Arabidopsis thaliana: one gene and its partners. The protein of the gene in region 2 interacts with the protein of the main gene of each other region in a pairwise test. Each region holds a gene or a part of one and is shown on either strand. Other genes may lie near its edges.

The links.
Region 1: the proteins of GUT2 (region 2) and AT1G30080 interact in a protein complementation assay, tested with the Arabidopsis thaliana proteins (one large-scale study listed by BioGRID).
Region 3: the proteins of GUT2 (region 2) and AOX1B interact in a protein complementation assay, tested with the Arabidopsis thaliana proteins (one large-scale study listed by BioGRID).
Region 4: the proteins of GUT2 (region 2) and PIN5 interact in a protein complementation assay, tested with the Arabidopsis thaliana proteins (one large-scale study listed by BioGRID).

What each region holds. Positions count from the first base shown.
Region 1 is NC_003070.9:10,550,077-10,555,149, forward strand, and holds AT1G30080 (Glycosyl hydrolase superfamily protein), read right to left. Parts: upstream 3,220-5,073; 5' UTR 3,092-3,219; coding exon 3,019-3,091; intron 2,903-3,018; coding exon 2,560-2,902; intron 2,388-2,559; coding exon 1,664-2,387; coding exon of another isoform or gene 1,646-1,663; exon of another isoform or gene 1,242-1,645; coding exon 1,155-1,241; 3' UTR 779-1,154; downstream 1-778.
Region 2 is NC_003070.9:9,528,097-9,533,371, forward strand, and holds GUT2 (Exostosin family protein), read right to left. Parts: upstream 3,394-5,275; 5' UTR 3,118-3,393; coding exon 3,024-3,117; intron 2,813-3,023; coding exon 2,424-2,812; intron 2,171-2,423; coding exon 1,929-2,170; intron 1,683-1,928; coding exon 1,169-1,682; 3' UTR 871-1,168; downstream 1-870. Other genes in the region: AT1G27435 (uncharacterized protein), read right to left, coding at 572-718; APT1 (adenine phosphoribosyl transferase 1), read left to right, coding at 3,946-4,105, 4,257-4,406, 4,497-4,607, 4,775-4,942, 5,269-5,275. UniProt on the Arabidopsis thaliana protein: Involved in the synthesis of the hemicellulose glucuronoxylan, a major component of secondary cell walls. Probably involved in the elongation of glucuronoxylan xylosyl backbone, especially in the formation of GlcUA side chain of xylans.
Region 3 is NC_003074.8:7,901,689-7,906,115, reverse strand, and holds AOX1B (alternative oxidase 1B), read right to left. Parts: upstream 2,020-4,427; 5' UTR 1,961-2,019; coding exon 1,661-1,960; intron 1,578-1,660; coding exon 1,449-1,577; intron 1,367-1,448; coding exon 878-1,366; intron 792-877; coding exon 732-791; 3' UTR 540-731; downstream 1-539. Other genes in the region: AT3G22350 (F-box and associated interaction domains-containing protein), read right to left, coding at 3,075-4,211.
Region 4 is NC_003076.8:5,398,647-5,403,737, reverse strand, and holds PIN5 (Auxin efflux carrier family protein), read right to left. Parts: upstream 3,099-5,091; 5' UTR 3,004-3,098; coding exon 2,342-3,003; intron 1,834-2,341; coding exon 1,748-1,833; intron 1,655-1,747; coding exon 1,497-1,654; intron 1,343-1,496; coding exon 1,266-1,342; coding exon of another isoform or gene 1,262-1,265; exon of another isoform or gene 1,185-1,261; coding exon 1,112-1,184; 3' UTR 893-1,111; downstream 1-892. Other genes in the region: ZFN3 (zinc finger nuclease 3), read right to left, coding at 1-145, 244-301. UniProt on the Arabidopsis thaliana protein: Auxin transporter regulating intracellular auxin homeostasis and metabolism. Mediates the auxin transport from the cytosol into the lumen of the endoplasmic reticulum. May also act as an auxin efflux carrier when located to the cell membrane.

The DNA of each region.
Region 1 (5,073 bases), 1.0 Mb from region 2:
AAAATGCTGACGACTTAAAACATGGTCGTGGAATAAAGTTGGAACCGTCCATATCAATTTATATGCTTCCTCCTAATAAATAAACTTTAGTTTTGTTTTGATAATTTTTAACTTCTTCTTTCTCTCCCGTTAGAAAAATGGAGCATTCCTCTTTTACATCAATTGGTGAATTAATGAGTATCCACCACACATATGACATATACACATATTCATACATGTAAGATGTGTCATGTATGCATGTATGAGTAGTGTCATGTGTGTGCACGTACGAAGCCATACCACATATACATGCAGATATAATGCATGCATGTGTAAGAGCAGACAATATATTAAAATATCGAATGTTGACGGTGAGATGGAAAAGGAAGGTATCGTATGTCTAAGGTTTATGGATTCCACGTCCAAAAGATAAAAGGTAAAAGATAAAAGAGCCTTCACCTTCGGTGTGACCAATCAATAAATTTCTATATAAAATATATGATATCATCTTTCTTTTTTTCTGTTTCTGTTAAACGATATCTGATGATAACATTATATATCATGTACTTTAAAGTAATATTTGGAGCGTTGAAAATGACAATATTTTCTGCTTAGTAATAATTATTATTATATTCTATGCTTCTCGTAAAAGTAGTACTATATGGGGTCTTCTTTATATCTAGAGTAATTTCTTTAGCTTTCTGAAATATGATTCATATGTAGTACATAATGTGAAATCAAACATTTTAAATGAAATTATGCAATGAATGTGGTTACTAAAATGCCTCAAATGAAATTGTATCCTTTGGATTTAAACAATAAACACGATCGTTCTTATATGATTCATGAATCATTATTGTATACGAATCATTATTGTATACCTTATCAGTTGATGATTAATTTTAGTCACTTTTTATTTAGACAACGAAAGTAATTAACACGTTAGTAAGACAAATACAAATAAAGTTCTATAATATGAATCGTCAGTTTTTTATACATAGGATTCGCTTTGCAGTACTGCATTCCCTTCTCAATTTTTCTGAGTGTTTTTTTCCCCTTTTAAAGAATCATCTGAGACACTTTCGAGAATAATTTAATTCTTCTCGTTGAAAAATTGGACCGCATTAGTGGACTCTCTATTTACACTTAGAAGCTCTCTCAATTTGTTTTTGCTTCTAGTACGATCTTCTAATTAGCATGTGAATGGCCAACAAATAAACGCATGTCCAATACATCAACCGTTGCTTTCCCTTCTTTAAAGCCTGTTTAAATTAAAATATCATAATAAGCAATAATTAAGACCGCAAATTTTTAATTAACTAATATGTATCTAAAAATCAGATGGTGAGGATAATCATAAATATCATGTACTAATCATATCGCTCCAAAAAAAATGTATACTTTATCGCTATTAATCAAGAAATATGTTAAAATAAATATGTTTGGTAAGAATATGTTCTAGAAAAGCCGAACTTTTCAAGTATAAAACGTCACAATTAGAAGAAAGAAACGTCACAATTCTCTTCTTTTTTAGACAACAGGTCAGAATTTGTTTTAAAAATGTTTCTCAATCAAAGCTTTTTTCAAGGGATTTAATGTGCTATATAAAGATTAAAAAGAAAGAAATATGGAAGTAAGAGATCTAGTAGAAACAGAGCAAGTAAAGTTAAATGTTGATACATACCGTGGAGGCAGAGGAAGTGAGGGAAATAATAGAAGTTGAAGAAGTAGTTGATGTTGATGTTAATGATGACGACGATAATAAACCTACATTGTAAGTCATGGTCTCATCAGGCTGATACAATCCATAATTCCTCTCAGAGGTTGGTCCTGGTTTAAGGTCTTCATTGAAAAGAGCAAATAGATAAACATCAAAACTCAAGTTTGGTCTCAATGGCGTTCCTTCATTTTGAAGTTGTCTCCTTAGAATATTTTTGTTATAAACGGCTGCGTTGGCCACAGTGGCTCCAACCTCATCTCCATCGCCTTTAGACGGCCATCCAGTCTCCGAGACCCCAACTTCGATGTCTTTGAAGCCAAGCCTCGCCATGGCAAAGATCACAGCGTCTACTTGAGCGTAGAGCATGTTGTCATAGCGGTACTTGGTATAGGGGTCAACCATTCCAGGGTTAGGGTTGAAGAGGACGTAGTCTAATGGGATCTTTGTTGGGGAATCCTTGTAAGCGAAGTAAGGGTAAGCGTTGATCCAGAAGGGGGAATTCGTGTTACGCAAGAAACCTAGTAGCTGTGTCATTACGCCAGCTACTTCCGGCCTAAAACATCCGGCGGATGGAGGGTAAGATTCTTGAAGGACGGATAGTGAGTTCGGAGTCGATACTTGAATGTACTTGTCTAGTCCGGTTTGGACCAAAGCCCCATGAATGCTCATCATTGCAGGCATAAGATACCTGCGAATCATAGCAATAACGAGGTTGAATACTTTCTTCTTTTTTTGAACTAGAGGATCTCAGGATGATACCCACATGACTACCATGATTTGGTTAGTAGGGCATATTTGTAATGGACCAAGATTTGAAAAGGATAACAATTTATAGGAATGAGGGGATGTATGTAACAAACCCTATAAGGCTTGAGTCATCGTCAGTGTATAGTTCGTTGCCGACGGCGATACCACCGATCTTGGTGGCCGGAAAGTAGGGTTTGATACGGGTAGTGACCCATTGGAGAGCTTGTTGAGGGTCTACTAAGCTGGGAAGCATTTCATTTTCGACGGTGACAAAGAGCTCGATATTGGAATTGGCAAATGAGGTTAACACTCGAGGGTTTGTGTCATAGATTCTTGTCTTATTGATATGGAGTGAACTCAAGAGTTGTAGAACTTTGTCCGGTGGAGGAAGATTGTCGCCGACTTGACCATAGTTGATGCCAAGAGAGGAGACCCTTTGAAACAACAATCCATGTTCTGTGAAAAAAATGTAAGAGAAATTTAAATAATTAAAGTGTAATGACAAACTGAAATTGAGATAATGAATTTTGTTTGTTGGTAGACAGAAATAAGCAATTATTCAAAAACGATACCTAAGAAAGTCAAGGAAAATAGAAGAAGAACGATAGAGTTGGTCATGGCAATTCTGCTAAACATGTTAGACATGGAGAAGAGAGAAAGAGGGAGATAAAGACTGAGGGAGAAAGTGCTTGTAAGAGAATCAATGCAATGAAATGTGGGGATAGATATAGAGATGAAGAATTGAGAAATGGGACCAAGTAGGCGACGAATAATTATTAATTTATAATTTAGAGATAATACTTTACTTTGCCTGCCTTTGTTTTATGGTGAGACATAGGGTTTCTACAATAAAAGTGACAATATGATTAATTCCAAAAATAATTCAATAAGTTATTTAAATTTATACTCGTTAGTTTTGTAATGGGAGTAGGTTTGGCAATAGGTTTATCTTATGGAAGTCTATTGTAAAAATAGATAGTGTTTGCCAAAAACATTCTTTGTGAGGCAACATGGGTTTCATAAAACATTTTGGACCCAAGAAGAAAAAAATATGACATCTTAGATTGTCTCTTTCCAACACATTGCCAACTATGTCAGTCCAAAAAAAAAAAAAAATGAAAAAGTGGCCTAAAAGAAGACACTTTCTTCAGACAAAGGCAAAGGTGGGAAAAATTGAATTGCCCACTATAATAGGTTTTTAATCTTAACAATATGTCTATTAAACACAAAGAAAAAAAAAACATTATGTCTTTGGCATAGAATTTGGAGGATCCCAAATTTGGTAGTTGGGTGAACCAAAAAAATGGAACGTAAAGAGTAGAAATCACACCATCATAATGATAAGAAGGATAGTGCGCTTATCTTCAGTTTATTATATTTATATAGTATTGCAATTTGCATCTTGTGAAATAAAAGCTCTTTTAAAAAACATTGTAACGATTGTTAGAATTGTATTTCACGTGAAATTATAGTATGACCCTCAGTTAATCCTATATTTGATATTCAACGGAGTTTAGTCGCATATTTAAAACTGATCCTACGTTTCAATTCAGAATTTATATACCGTTAGCTTACATGTAAAAGTAAATATTTCTAAATTCAACCTAACTCATCTAGTCAACCCGCTCGATCACAAAAAAAATTAGGTTGCACAACGGTTCATTATTTATGTTTTAGATGAAATAAAATAAATTAATTACTCGATTAATCAATCAATGGAAAAAAACGGTTTTAAACAAGTTTACAAAAAGAAAAGTTAATCAAAGTTGATATGTAAATTTACAGCCTAATTGGCCCTAGCCAATAATTTAGTTGTCTGAAACAATTTTTTTTTTCTTTCAGTTTGATATTAAAACAATAAAAGCTCTAACTATACACCAGGTGATAATTGTAATTCAACTTCATTTTGTACAGATTTTTGGAAGTTTGGGTTGTTACTTTTCTTATAGAACGGACTTCTTACTACAGTATAACCTCTATAAATTAATAACCTTTATAAATTAATAAATTCTTCCGGTCCCGAGTTGGGACTAGTGTAAAAAATGACACAAATCGATAAATTAATAAGATAATAATTTTTTGGAAAGTTCTATGTAAATATATGGTCTCATCGATATCATAAATTAATAATTGTATAAATATATCAACTATATATATATATTATATGTAAAAAATTTCTTTAAAATATATTTATAATAATTTTTTGTTTAAATTCATATTTGTTATTTGTTTGATTATAGTTTTCATATTTTACTATACCAAAACTTTTGTTATTTGTTTAATAATGTTTTCTAGACATTATTATTATGTTTTATTTGTAACTGGTTCTAGAAATATATTTTTTATAATGAAAAAAATCTTATAAATTTTTTTAAAAAGTTACCAAATTAAGAAAATCTCTCTATAAATTAATAAATATTAATTTATCAATAAATTAATACCTCTCTAAATTAATAAAATTTTGCAGTCCCAAATAGAGGTTATACTGTATATCGGATATTGATTAATTTCTGAAAATTTCAAATATATTAAATGGAATAGAGATCTGAAAACATATGTAAAGTAGCCTGCTTTATGAAATGATGCAACAAAAGTGACCCAATTTTATTTTTTTCGTAACCAACCCA
Region 2 (5,275 bases):
AAGAATATATAGGAGGGTTGGGTCTTATAATATTTATAAATTCCTAGGTGGTATGAGCTCAAAATCACCACATACATCTTGGTAGATCGACAAGCTTTACCAAAAAATGTATAACACACTGTGATGCACAAGATAGCCCAAAATAGCTCGAAAATAACACAAGCATATTGAGAGATGGACAACCTTTGCATGATACCAAACACCAAACCGGGAAAAATGAATTCCAAGTGTTCCTACTCTGTTCCTAGTTCCACAGAAAGATACATAGAAGCCTAAAGGCCATATACCAAGAACAAACTACACAGTTGGCCTTGTCCTAACTCATTACATCTACTCAGACCTAAGGAGAGCACATCACAATAGACTGAACAACATTTTGCAATCGAAACTGATGATCTTGAAATGAATCCATCAATACTTTCAACACGAAAAATCCATCAATACATTCAATCCTAATCTATCCTTGGCGGGTAATTGTAGGGAAGTGAACGCAGATAAGAGGATCTAGACTACGAAAAGAGAAATGTTCTCTCAAAAACCCATAAACCCTAAAAATGGAATAGGAGAGTACCTGCCAAACACGACGGAGGCGGGTTTTGGCATTGGCTTTACGAGTAGGGGTTAGCTTGATCCGCTTCCAAAGAAGACCACCGGAATCGTGCTTCTTCACTAATTCCATCACTCGAGTTCCCCAAAACGCACCCATTCCTCCTCCCATGGCCGCCTCTCTCGTTCTCTCTCAAGAGCAAAGATCTTAGATTAGTTCGAGTTTTTCCTTCAATCAGCCCATTTAGTAGACTTTAGGCCCATTTCATCTACGAGCTTTTTTTGAATAAATAATTTTCTTTTTTAATAAGGATTCTAATTTGATTCACAACAAAATTAATTACCACATGTTTTCATAACTTTTCAGGTTATTGGACATTGAAACTTACATGATTGGAGTTAGCCAAGACAAAAGGAGTGTACAGTATTATATGATCAATCGAAGAGAAAATGTACAACAAACTTGGTACATGTACCTCGAGTAAATGTACTAATGTTATCTACAAAAAAAATCCACTCGGAGGACTTGGACTTCTAATGTTTTTGAAGTGCTATAGAAAGGCAACAACGTATGCTCTAGGTGAAACCCAAGATATACAAAAAGATTCCTCTCTTTCTGACTTTACCAAGGTTTCAGGTCAGCAACCGGACCAGCAGTCCAGTTCAGTGCCTTCTCACCTGTCTTCAAGTATATGCTTTTGTCGTGGGGTAACTTCCGAGCTAGCCCGTTAAGTATCTGATGGAATGCATCCCCTGGTTGTGCAGGTTGAGGGAAAAGCATGGCTCGTTTCATCGAAGGATTTGCGAGGAGTCTCTGTTTTCTGAGGATCACTTCTGTTGGTATTGAGGTTAGGATCGTGTCTAGTTCAGGGACGTCTTTTTCCGCAACAAAGACTCCTATTTCTTCCCAGGGGATGGCGTCTGCGAAAGGCAGTACTATGTCGTCTGCTATGATAACTGGAATGCACCCAAACACAACTGCTTCAACTAACCTAGGGCTCCATGGAGCCCATCCTAGAGGACATAGACAGAAGATGGCTCTCTGCATGTCTTCGTAGTATGTTGTCGGGTGATCTGTTGAGATGTCAAACAAAGGGTTGTTCTTGAAGTTCTCCCACACCGCTGCTCTTGCACCTCTATACAAAGAGAGAAGTTCCAGTCAGCAGATTCTAAAACAATTTGATCTTAGCTAACCTTATATATAACCTAACTTCCTAATGAGGAATGCTTAATTGTTATCTTAATAGGTAGATCTTGATGTATATGTGCTTCTTTTATTGTATGATACTATAGAGTTTGCAGTTCCATTTTGGTTGAAAAATCTATGTAAGACTAGAGAAAACTCATCACTTGAGAGTTTTACAAGTCTACAAAATATGTACCTTGCATAATATCCACCTTCGGGGTCGTTGTTAACATCATAAAATAAACCGCGGAAGTAGACAAAGATAGAGCGTGGAATATCTGGAGGAATAAAATGGGCCTGCATCTTCTGTGGAGGTGCAAAAGGAGGAATAGTGATCGAGCCTTCGTCCAAACAGACATGGTTCCTTTGACCAAATGTCTGAACCAAAGTGGCACGCTGGAGTAGTGGAAGTATCCCTCTTTCAATGGCTTTTTCCTCCTGTTTAATGTCAATCAAATCTTCAATTCCCACACAAATCATTGGAATATTCCACAATCTTATACAATAAACTCATAAACAGATTCTCAGTTTCCATGTAACTAAGTACTAATGTGATGATACAACAGCTAATTTTAAGCTAATGATCATCTATCATTGTAAGATCACAGGGTATTCTTGATGAACAGCAACCACCAAAGTATTCAATGCATATAAAAAATAGAGTTTGTTCCTGAATGCAGAGATAATCTACCTGATAATGGAAGCAAGCTCCAAAGTCATGGGGCACAACAAAGAAGTGATCAGCTCCTTCAGTCCGATTCCAATAAGGCCAATTTGATGAGATTAGTTGTATCGAACTTCTCATCATACGCGGCGATTTAAACGGTAATGGCAAGCCGGTAGGAGTGAGGTCGCAAGTAGGATAAATTGGCGTGTAAAACCAATCAGCTTCATCAGGATTACGCGTTCGAACAGGACTAGATAAAAGGAACCTGTGCATAAAAATCTCAGCAGCAAACATGTGTGTAAGACATCGAGGATCCTTTTGCAGTAATTTCTTGTTGTACTTGCTTGGAAGCTCATATACATAAACCTTAAGCTTTCCCACTGGATCATCCTCCAAAACATCACCAGCACTTCCTGCATTTCAAAAACACACCTTTTTGAGCTCTCTTACACAGCTGTTACATAGTTCCTCAATCAATAGCATTGACTTCTTAAGCAAATCAAATTATATGTCTATAAACCAAATGCTGGAGAAACGACAGATTTCAAACTTATTTGAGCGACCCTCAAGGATTAATCAATTCAACTCTACATTCCAATCTGCTGGAGCAAGAAGAACAAGTACCTGAAATTCGCTCTGTCCGAACATTTTGTTTAGCGGAAGAAGCAGAGAAGAAGAGGAACAGAAGAATGGCGGAGAGGCAAGAGTGGATTTTCATATCTACCGGAGATGTGTTTGAAGGTTTGGATCGCAGAAAGGAAGAAGGAAGAGGAAGAATATAAGGGAAGAGTATCGTTGGGAGGTCATGGGCGCAGTGGTTGACGAGTTTACTTCGGTATTAGGTTTTAGGGTTTATTTTATTCAGAAGGAAGACGTGAATGGTGAAAATGAAATAGAGTGTCGATGGAAAACGAAATTGGAGAAATAGCTTCAAGTCACAGATAAGTAAGAAATTGCTTGTGATGTACTTTTTTTTTCCTTGAATTCAACGACCAAAGACGGAAACTGGTGCACATCACAAGGCGCGTGCTATTATGGGCTGAGTTAATGTCCATTGGGCCTTGCTAACGTCCAACGTTGACTAGTTATAACTTCCGTAGTAGGTCATGATCGTTTTAGAGTGGCCACTATCAACAACTAGTTAACGACAACAATTTTTTATATATATGTTTTATAGTTGTTGGTAATACGACAATTATAGGTGACATAATTCATTGATTAGCGATTAATATATTTGAGATCACTGTAAAAGAAGTACTATGATTCAGTTTTTGATCGTTTTATGTCATTAGCAACGATGAAATGAACATTGTTATATATCTCTAAATGTAACCATAACATTGTGGATAATAATCTGTTGGAGTGTGAACACTCTGAAAGATTCTAAATCATCCAATTTTATGTGAAGAAATATGTAGAAAAAACAAACAATGGATGAGTTATAGGTTTGGTTAAGACTTGAAAAGTCATTGATCACGGCTTTTGTCCATTATTCCGTGTTTAAAGTAATTTACATTCTCTTTTAAGATCTCTCAGTCCAAAGACAATGCAAACAATAATAATTTCTCCACTTGTTTCTCATCGTCTCTGTCTTGCTCGTGCTGTTCCTTGCAACCGTCTTCTCAACAACCACCACCGTGCTCCTCCTTCGATCCGCCTCTCAAACCACCGTTCAACCACCTCACTCCGCCTCTTCTCCTCCGCCGGTAGACCCCACCACCTTCTATTTCCCTTTTAAACTTTTTGTTTCCTTTTGAAAAAGATATTTTGCTTGCGTGGGGCAATTCCGTCAAAGCGTTACCATTCGGGATAAATTGGTCATTTTTTCATCACTGTGTCTCTCTATTGAGTCTTTAGGGTCTCTCTGTGTTTGCAAATCTGACGCCGAGTATTTTGCTAAAGCAGCAGCCAGTCGGGACAGTGAAATGGCGACTGAAGATGTGCAAGATCCCAGAATCGCTAAGATTGCCTCTTCCATTAGAGTCATCCCCGACTTCCCTAAACCAGGTCTCCATTTTTTCCATTTATACCGATTAATATCGTCTCTAGTCTTGATCTGCGTTGGGATCTTAAGGTTTTAATTTGGATACTTGGCAGGAATCATGTTTCAGGACATAACGACGCTTCTTCTCGACACTGAGGCCTTTAAGGATACTATTGCTTTGTTTGTTGATAGATACAAAGATAAAGGCATATCTGTTGTTGCAGGTAACAACTCGTATGGTTCTGTTTGGTACTCCAATCGATTAACAGCTTGTGGATTTAGTTTCTTTTGGCCTTTTTAGATACTGAGTGCTTTAGCTTAAACTGAAAAGTTGAAATGAATTGGTGGATGATTTTTGGTTCTGCCTAAATTGATGTTGTGGTAAATGCAGGTGTTGAAGCTAGAGGTTTCATTTTTGGCCCTCCTATTGCGTTGGCTATTGGTGCCAAATTTGTTCCCATGAGGAAGCCCAAGAAGCTACCTGGTACATTTTTATTTCTTCCTCTAGTTGCTTGTGATTTTGACATTAAGTTACATGAAAGGTCTCAATTAGGAAGTTGTTAGTTTAAATGGCTTCTTGCTCCAAGTCTACACTTTATCATTATCTCGAACATTAGCAAGGTGACTTTTATCTTGCAGTGTCTTTGATCAATATGATGCTACTCATTTGCTAGATCATTTTTCTTTGTGGTAACTTGCAGTAACTTAAGTGGTTGTTATTTTTTCTGTTACATATCAATGGACTTAGTTGTGTATCTTGACCAGTTACAAGAAATGTATTAAGCCATTTGGAAACTTATGAGCAGTGTCAAATAATTGTCGCATTCCTTGTTTATCCATGGACGTTAATTTCTAAACTGCCTCTGCATTTGGTTCCTTTAACAGGGAAGGT
Region 3 (4,427 bases), on a different chromosome or scaffold from region 2:
CGGTTTTTTCATGTTTTTACCAAAAAAAATTATAAGTGTGATGCATAAATAAAATCAAAATCTAATTTGTAAACTCAAATCCTAAATGACGGCATGTAATTTATATAGAATTTTAGTTTAGGTTACAGTTAGGGTTTTGTTTTTCGATAGTTTGATAGATATCATGTTATCAAATGAACATTATATATATATATATACAATTATTTTTAATTTAAATCAAAAACAAAAAAAACGTTCGGTTTTACGGTTTTTAATCAAACCAAACCTAAACCAAAACTTAAATAAAAATTACAATCAAATGGGTTTTTATACAAAACCATAACCAAACCAAACCATTTGTTTTGGTTTGGTACGGTTCGGTTTTTCGGTTTTCGTTTTTTTTCCCACCCCTATTAATTTAACATTTATATATGATGGATTCAAGCCTACTTCATTTTAGTGGGGTTTAATGGACATATCTATGGTTATATTCAAACTTCAAAGCCTTGGGTTTGTAAAGTTTTATTTCTAGCCTAAGTGTATATGTAAACATATCATGTAAGCACTGATTTATTAGGAGAATGAAAACAAACAAAACACTCTTTTATGAAGCAAAAAGAAAGCAAGCACAAATAAGCTTACTCTAAGGCCCACTAAATTTTAACAAATACCCATTAAAGCCCATTTAGGAACAAGGAAAACAAAACTGGACCGTATCAAAACGACAAAACAAAGCTAGAAGCTCTTCAGATTCAATGATATCCAATGGGAGCTGGAGCTTCTTTTAGCTCACGACCTTGGTAATGAATATCCTGCAATTTTTATTAAAACCATGAAAACAATCTAATCATCTTTTAAACATAAGTAAGTTTCCTATAATACAATTCACACTACTTACGGATGCATAGTGGTTAACATCACGGTGATGCGCTTCATCAGCACGGACCACCATGACGACATCACGAAGCGTCGCATCAGCTTCAAGTCTCCAGTAATCAATGGCAATAGCCGGTGCAGGCACATTTTCGATGTTACCATTATCGAGTTCTTTAAGAAACTCAGTGTAAGAGTGGATTGCTTCTTCCTCAAGGTATCCAACCATACGATGAGCAAATTTGGGAGAAATTAGGTATCCAAGGAAATAAGCATTGAAGAAAATGCCTTGAACGGCAATCACAAGAGCTCGTTCGTACCAATTAGGTTTCGCGACTTCCATGAATGTCATTAAATGCATTCTCTCGTTCTCTGCTTCTTCAAGTAGGGCTTTGATCCAACCACCGCTTTGTTCAAACCGTCGAAGCGATTTGCAGTGTACTAACATCCCTCCAACCATTCCTGGAACCGCTGCAACCGTTTCTAGCATCATTGCTCTGCATCCGTACCGCCTCTGCGGTTAACTCGTTGGCAAGATTAGTCCAAACATACAAAGCATTTGAAATGACAAAACCATAGAAAGCTAAGACTGTCACCTGGAAGAAAAGATCGGTAGGCCATCGAAGAGATTTCACGGTCCAATAAGCTAGTTTGTCCGGTAAAGTCGATGGAACATGATGCTTCTTCAAATCTATAGTCAGATCTGATTTATATGTCTCCCATGGCTACAGTTATTCCACACAAAAACTCAAATCATACATATAAATCGACCACAGAGTTCTAATATAATACCAAAGATGTAATGTACCCTAAAGCAACTCCATTTCCATTCAGTTCCATCTTCTTTGGTGATCTTCATCGGCTTCACTCCCCAGTAGCTAACGATTAATTGCTCCCCTTTGTTACCTTGATCAGCCTTGCCACCGCTAGATCCTTTCTCCTCCGTAGTTTTCTTCTTCTCAAATGTCATCTTGCTGAAAACTCTCACGACTCCCATCGCCGGAACCCTAATATTTTCCGTCACGAGAGGAACCCTAGGATTCAAAAGATGGCTGTGAGTCACAGCAGTTTCCATTAGCTTGGCTCCATAGCGACGACTCATCATCATTATGCAGATCGAAAATGAACAGTGGAACTTGATTAATGATAGTGTTTTTTTTTTGTTTTTTTGCATTTGGTAACTCCTAAACTGACATCTATTTATAGCAATTACGGAACTCTAGGATCAATGTATACAAGAAAGCGTAAAATTCGTCTAATTTGACTAAAAGACTTGTAGCACACGAAAAGACAAACTAATCCGCAAGTTTATGCTCAAAAACTGTGGACATTTTTTAAGTAAAAGCTTGTAGTAATAATCTTTTTTCTATAGACTTGGCTGGTGATATTCGTCAGCCGTTTTAATTCATGTTTTGATTAATTAGATTAATATAATTAAAAAGTTAAAAAAATCCTCTGTTCCAAAACAGAGACGTATTTGTGTAGTGTCTTATAGTTTCTTTGATGTATCTAACAATAACTGTGTCGCAAACTGTTGAAACCATTGGACAACCTTCTCGGTTTGAATATCATGGACGCAATTACTTGTTTCAAACCATAGGGTCTGAATGGTTGCAGCGGTTAAGGCGGACAAATCCGTTTATGGACTTGACCGATATTTAGTTACCATTCATAAATTGTGTCTGTAGTTATTTACCATTCATAGAATTGTGCTTATATATACAAATAGAGTTGATCTACATCGGTTTGTTATCCATCCTAAAAATAGAGCAAACTAAACTGCTGAGTGGATTTGTCCATCCCGACCGCCGCCACCATTCAAACAATATAGACGAATCTCAGTGTATCTATGAAACTGATCATTACTAAAATTTACCCAAAATGTTCGCAATAAAATCGATTTTCCCCCCAATTTGATGATTTTGAATCCATCTTGACGATGTCGAAGTAGGATATCCTCGGGTTTTTGATTCCGCTAGCGATGATCGAAACCTCTCCAGACAGAGTGATAACAAGATGATTGTCATTTGTTTCTGAAATCCAGCCTAGAGCAGGCTCTCAAAGGTAAGAATCATAAACTATACAACACGAAGAAAAAGAATAAACTACCAAAAAACTTTCATTAAATTATTCAACCAAAGGGAAAACAAATGAGAGAGGACTAGTGTATCTTATTTTTATCGACTAGTTTTTTTTCTTCTCTTTTTTACTCTCTATCTCTCTTACAAGATTTGAACCAAACTTGGAACATAATTGTAAATAAATGGAAACCACCACCATTTTTTTGTAAATTTTTCAGAAAATCTACATAACCACCATGGCTTGTTTGTAGCATAAGGGATTTCTGAGTAATATTTATTGTCTTCTCCAATAGTGAATATCAAGTTCCCGTCGGTCTCGAAATCTAAATTACAACACAAGGCCACTTTCTTCTCCTCGTTGATTAAAAGACTCGCGAAAACCTCAGAACAATGACCGCCAATGGGTAAATCCACTATAAAGGATTTGCTCCACAACAAAGCAGCTTCTTCAGTACCAACTTTATTGGTTACAAATATCTCCATCTTTGATGTCTCAATCTCTTGTAACACTGAGAGTTGTTCTTCTCCAACAACTGATAGAGCCATAAAACCATGATCTCGAGATGGCGGAAGACCAATATGATTAAATCTCTCTGTTGTAAAATCAAAACTACGTAAGAAGTCCTTTTTATTAGAACCAAACCAGTAAGTGTTTCCCTTTAAAGACACGACACTTACTGGTGGGAAGCGGTCATCAGGGACGTCATCAAGAACCTTCCATGAATCAGATCTAAAGTCATATATTTCAAACCTGAAACGTCCGCCGTCGTCTGGTATGTGATCGTGAAACCAACCCCAATACCTCAAGATTTTGTAGTTACGACGACAAAATTTGTTGTTTTCGTATCCTAGAGCAAACGTAGAGTATCTCCTGCATTCATCTTTGAGTTGGATCCACCTGGTTTCCCCCAAACACGGATTCCAAACCACGAGTCTATTGTCCCTGGTGGCGCATAACAACAAACCATCACAGTGATAAACTTCGACTATCTCGACTTGTCCTAAATTAGAATGGGAATCATCTTTTATGCCAAGTGTACCTTGAAACTCTACAGATGGAGGAGAAACATTGAGATTGATATTCATTGAGCAAACTCTGTACTCCTTCAACATGAGAACCATAGACTCCTTTGGAGCTATATGAAAGTGTTTCTGGCTGAAACTTCGTTTTTTGAATAAAGTGTTCCATTGTTTGCAAGTAGATCGTAATCGTTTCAGAGATGTGGCCGAAACCCTTGAGAGTATTTCTTCTACCAAATCCAAAGGAAGATCAGACATCATCATATGATCGGAATTGTAGAAACTAGAGGCGGCTAGGTTTAGGATATGTTTTCCCTCTTATTCATCTCATATGATTACATCTTTATATATATACAAGAGCGGTAAACTAAACTTGGAGATAAAGTTTATTAACATAAAGTATATATCTCCTAAATATATTTATTTAACATAAATATGGATATATCCCAATAGGAATGAAGAATTTTAGCTACA
Region 4 (5,091 bases), on a different chromosome or scaffold from region 2:
GGATGATTGAATCGGCAAGTTGAACCAAACCTACAAAGTCCAGTCCTTATATAATAAGCACAATCTGGCTCTCCGTGACGTTCCGGATAAGACCCATCAACACCCATTGTATCATCTGATCCCAAGTTCATTTGCCACATTGCATCTAAAATTCACAAACCCAACCAAAACCCCACAACAAAAATTCAAGCTGAGGTTTTTAAGATTGAATCAGAACATCAGAGAGGGAATAAAGGATGGTACTTTGGTTAAGCAATGGGGAAAGAAAAGTGCTTTCCCGAGAAATGGAATCAAAATCCATGGAGATGATGAAGAACAATGGCTGTGTCGGTGATTATTAAGCATTAAGAACACACCATAATTCTCTCACTCTAAGAGATTTTCCGATGGGAAGTCCCATCGTTTCTCTTGCTCCCAGGAATCGTCTTCCTCCGATTGTGGAGGGGTTAGAGGAAATGGCAATGCAGGAAGACATTAGAGAATTAGAGATCACGTCTAGAGAGAGAAAGCAGAGAGAGATTGGGAAGAAAGTGTTGCGTTCTCTTCTCTCCTCCACACAAAAGAAAGAAAAAAAACTAAAGAGATTCGGTAAGAAAAACGAATTCGAAAAGACTAAATTACCCCTTTTATCTTCATATTGATTCGGTTGAGGAGAAAGAATAATTTATTTCATAAATCCTGATTTGGTTAGTATGTATGATCATGAATCAAATAATAACAAGATTTTATTTGATCTCTAACCTGAATTTCGTTTCATTTATTCTTTTTTTTTTTTTGTTAACAAAAAAAGGGCTTATAATATTTAGTGTACGTATTAAAACAATTTTAGATCCGAACATGATGTATTTTCATTTATAGAGTTTTTATCTTTTCTTGATACGTATATGTGAACAAAATACTAAATTATGCATACTACGAAAATAAAGAGAGCTTAAGAAAGTATAAAATTAAGCATAAACTAGGTTAATTCATTCAGTTAATGGTTTTCATATCTCGAATATACTTCAAAATCTCCTTTAGGAGGAAAGTGTAAAAGAGATAACAAAAAAAAAAACTTGTGAAAGATGAACAAAGGGTAATATTGATGATATAATCGAATTTATTAGTTTAATCAATGAATAAACTCCAGAGCTGCGTAGTAGGCGACGAGCACAGGTAGAGAGACCAACATCCCAAATATCACCCTACATTTATCAAAATTTTAATTTAATTTCATATTACCATTTTCTTCTTAAATAGACTGAATTTTTAAAATTTGGACTTACGCTGTGCTTAGAACATCTGCATGTAATCCATATTCCTTAGCAAAAATGAACGAAGTAATCGATTGTGGCAAAGCAGCCTGTAAATTTCATATAAATATTAATGATATATTAAACTGAAAAATATAAAGTTAGTATCTTAGTGGATGAATGAATGGAAAATGATCTACTTTTTTTTTTATATACAAACTTCAGTAGAATTAGGGTACAAAAGGATAAAGTAGAATTTATGACCTGAATGATGGCTACGCGGAGGACATCACCGTGGAGGCCAAGGACAATAGAGCCGATGGCCATGGCCGCCGGTCCGGCAATAAACTTCAATACCATTCCCATCACAGTCAAGCTTGTTCCACATACTATCAACTTTTCTTGAAGTGCCATGAATATTCCTGCGTATATATGCATGTATTCACTGTTATCTCAATACTGATACGTAATCTTTACGTATAGAAAGATACTTGCATGGACATAAATAAACGTACCCATATTGAACATGGCCGTTCCTGTTCCTGCTTTTGACATTATAAGAATCGAACCCTCTAATATGCCCGGCAGCTCCAGATGCCATCTATATTTCCAATTAATTTCCATCAATTATTAGACTTAAGTCTTTATTTGTTAGCCAAGAGTATACAAAACACTAATCAAAACCCTAAACCCAAAATTCACACTAAAACAAATAAAATAGAAATTTGGTCAAAGACTCTAATATTCAGATTAAAATCATGATTAGTTTATTTGCATGTACATGTCACGTTTGCAAATTATGTTACCATGTTAAAAATGTCCTAGTCATTTGTCACATGGAAATATAAACGCAAATGCAAAGAAACAATCGTGACCTATATTTCTGTCAAAATTTTAACTATAGATCATCAGGCGCTACACAGAAAAGTAATAATTTAGATGGTTTAAACGTCAAACTATAGATATTTTTAGGCAATTTTAACGGTTGCCTCGGAGTAAGGGGTGGAATTAATGTAGTCTCCTGAGTCCCTGATCACACATACTAATTAACACTTTGTTAAACATCTTATAGGTACCAATATAAAGTTTAATTAAAGATTCATTTTTACCTGTTAGAAATAAAAGCCCATGCGATCCCAAGGATGCAAGAATAGCAATTTGGATTCGTTGCAAGCTTCAACCAAACGAGGGACATGACCTCAAGGAACGACTTCTCTCCCACAACCACAGTTTCTCTTTTTCCACTTTCGATATTGATGTTGTCTACTTGTACGTCGCTGATATTATTACTACTAAATCCGGCTTTTCTAAACTCTAAGACAAACAACAAGAGTGTGAGCCACACGATGGCTTGAAATACCGAGGATTGAACCACCAGATCAACAGCCTGTTGTCCGTACATTGCCTTAGCCAATGGCACACCAACGACAAGAGAGTTAGTAAGAGTGCATAGAGAGAAACTAGTAATGGACCAACAATAGCTTCCTTTGTTGCTATATTTGGCCCACAACGCTAAGACCGTGACTATGATGACCTTAGAGAGGACATCGGCCGCGATGAACCGGTAATTCATGTTGAACGGGTCGACATGGGCCGTGAACTCAATGGTGAAGAGCGGCAGGGTGAAATAGCAAACGAGACGGTTTATAGCATCACATTGATCACGCGTGAAGATGTGCCACCATTTCACAGAGCCATAGCCTAAGATTAAGGCTACATAGAGTGGAACCATTGCTTCGATTACCTTGTAAACATCTCCACAATTTATCATGGTTTTATCAGAAAAATAGAAATGTTGCAGTAGTAGCAAACGAAAGGAAAGAAAACAAAGCTTCTAAATTCGTTCGTAGATAGTAAATGTGTTACGATAGAGAAACCAACATGTTCATATTTATAGATAAATTTTTAATTGTTTTATTTGTTGTAGAAAAAAGATAGGTAATGAGATATCCATGAGTAATATTCAAACAAAAGTAAAGTTTAGATATAAATTAAACAATAATATTTTTTTCTTCGGAATATGATTACGAATATTTATAAATAATTTGGCTAAATTCCTATAGAATAGATACAATTGAAATTTGAGTCTAAATATTTAGATAAAAAAATTAAAATCAACCTCATATTTTTAGCCATTAGTTTAATTGAGAAACAAGAGAGTTATCGTTATCAATATAATTGACCAGACCGTGCCGTGGCATATGATTCTATTCCAATTGTTTCCTGTAAATAGTGAGTGTAGTGTTTGTGTATGACGTAAACATTTCTTTCAATATTTGACTATATTAATTAATGGTAATGTCGCAGAATAAAGAATGAGGTTGCAGCTTTAGCACCATAACTAGAAGATCGTCTCGACCAATATATGTTTTTGGCTGTCGTAACTCGTCGCCACAACACATGAGACTAACCAAATAATATATTTTCAATAATTTATTCGAAATATTTGCTTAATCGTTTTTTTCTTAATCTTAATATTTATATTTATTAACCACTTTCATAAAATGGGAGCAGAACTATGCTAGTGCATGTAATATAAGTAAAGTGCATGGAATAGTTTGTATATATGCCGAAATGGGTATTTGTGCCCTACGACCTGGCGATAGCAACCAATTTCATAACCGACAAAGAGAGATTTCTTATAAGAAAATGAATTTCACTTACTTATACCTAGTGATGATTTGAATGTTTCAATATATTCATGGTTTAAGAAATAACATGTCATGGGTTTTAGAATATGTTAATATATAGATAGATAGAGAAGTCTACAAATAACTTACTTACTTTTATCTTAAACCATGTTTTACGTTGTTTTTTATGTTTCGTTCGATAAAAAATCATATGGCCATGTCTTTCTTCTTTGTTAAAATATCAAAGAACCATATTATACTACGAGCTAGCGAAAAATCTATCATCGTGAGGATTGAGGAAGCCATTCAAGAACTACAAAAGTTTACAGAAAAATTTGTACCTCGTGCTCTTGTCCTTTCTTGCTAGACAACAAATTTATTATTTGCCTTCTGGACTCTAATATAATCACAACAACACATATTGCTAGGTGCAATATCATCATATTAGCACTTTTTAATTCTATGGTATATTTTTGTTTTGTAACCATATATATTGTCCATTCACAAAGTCTTTTCTATTACACATATTCATGATGAGAAAATTGATTTGATCTAATTACTAGAGAATCATGCAGAGGCATAAAATGATCTGGAAAGCATTTATTTATCATTTGATTTGATAATAACATTTTATGGAAACACCTATCTTTACCAAAGATTTGGAACAAATAGAAAAACATAAGCAAACAAATATATATAGTCGGACTAAAACAAAAACAAAAAGGGGGATTTGACTGATGGAACAAAAGTTAAAATCGGTGGATTAGAAATCTGTGAAAACGTGGAGGATGCTTATTCACTGGTGAAATTGAGGGATCATATATAAATATGAATAATAATGCTAGTAGAATAAGTTCTATTTATCACTTGATGATTACAAATCTATAATATGCTTTCAAATTTCTCTCCTGATGTGTTGATATATATTACAGTCTTTTTAATATCAAAAAGGTTTTTGTCTTCTCTCATTCATTCATTCATCGTTAATACTTTTGTTTTTGTGTGACATATTTTCATTATTCTTCTTGAATTATGTCAGAAATAGCTAGCTAGCACGATTGGAAAGTTTATTCAAAATCCATCTTATTTGTTTTGTACTTTTGACGTCATGAATATTATGTTGATGTTTTTTCCCAAACCACAAAAACAAAACAATCAAAGTTTTTCAGACCAGAAAACACTATATGTTGGGGTTTATACTGTTCTTCCTAAATTAGAGTTCGAATTCA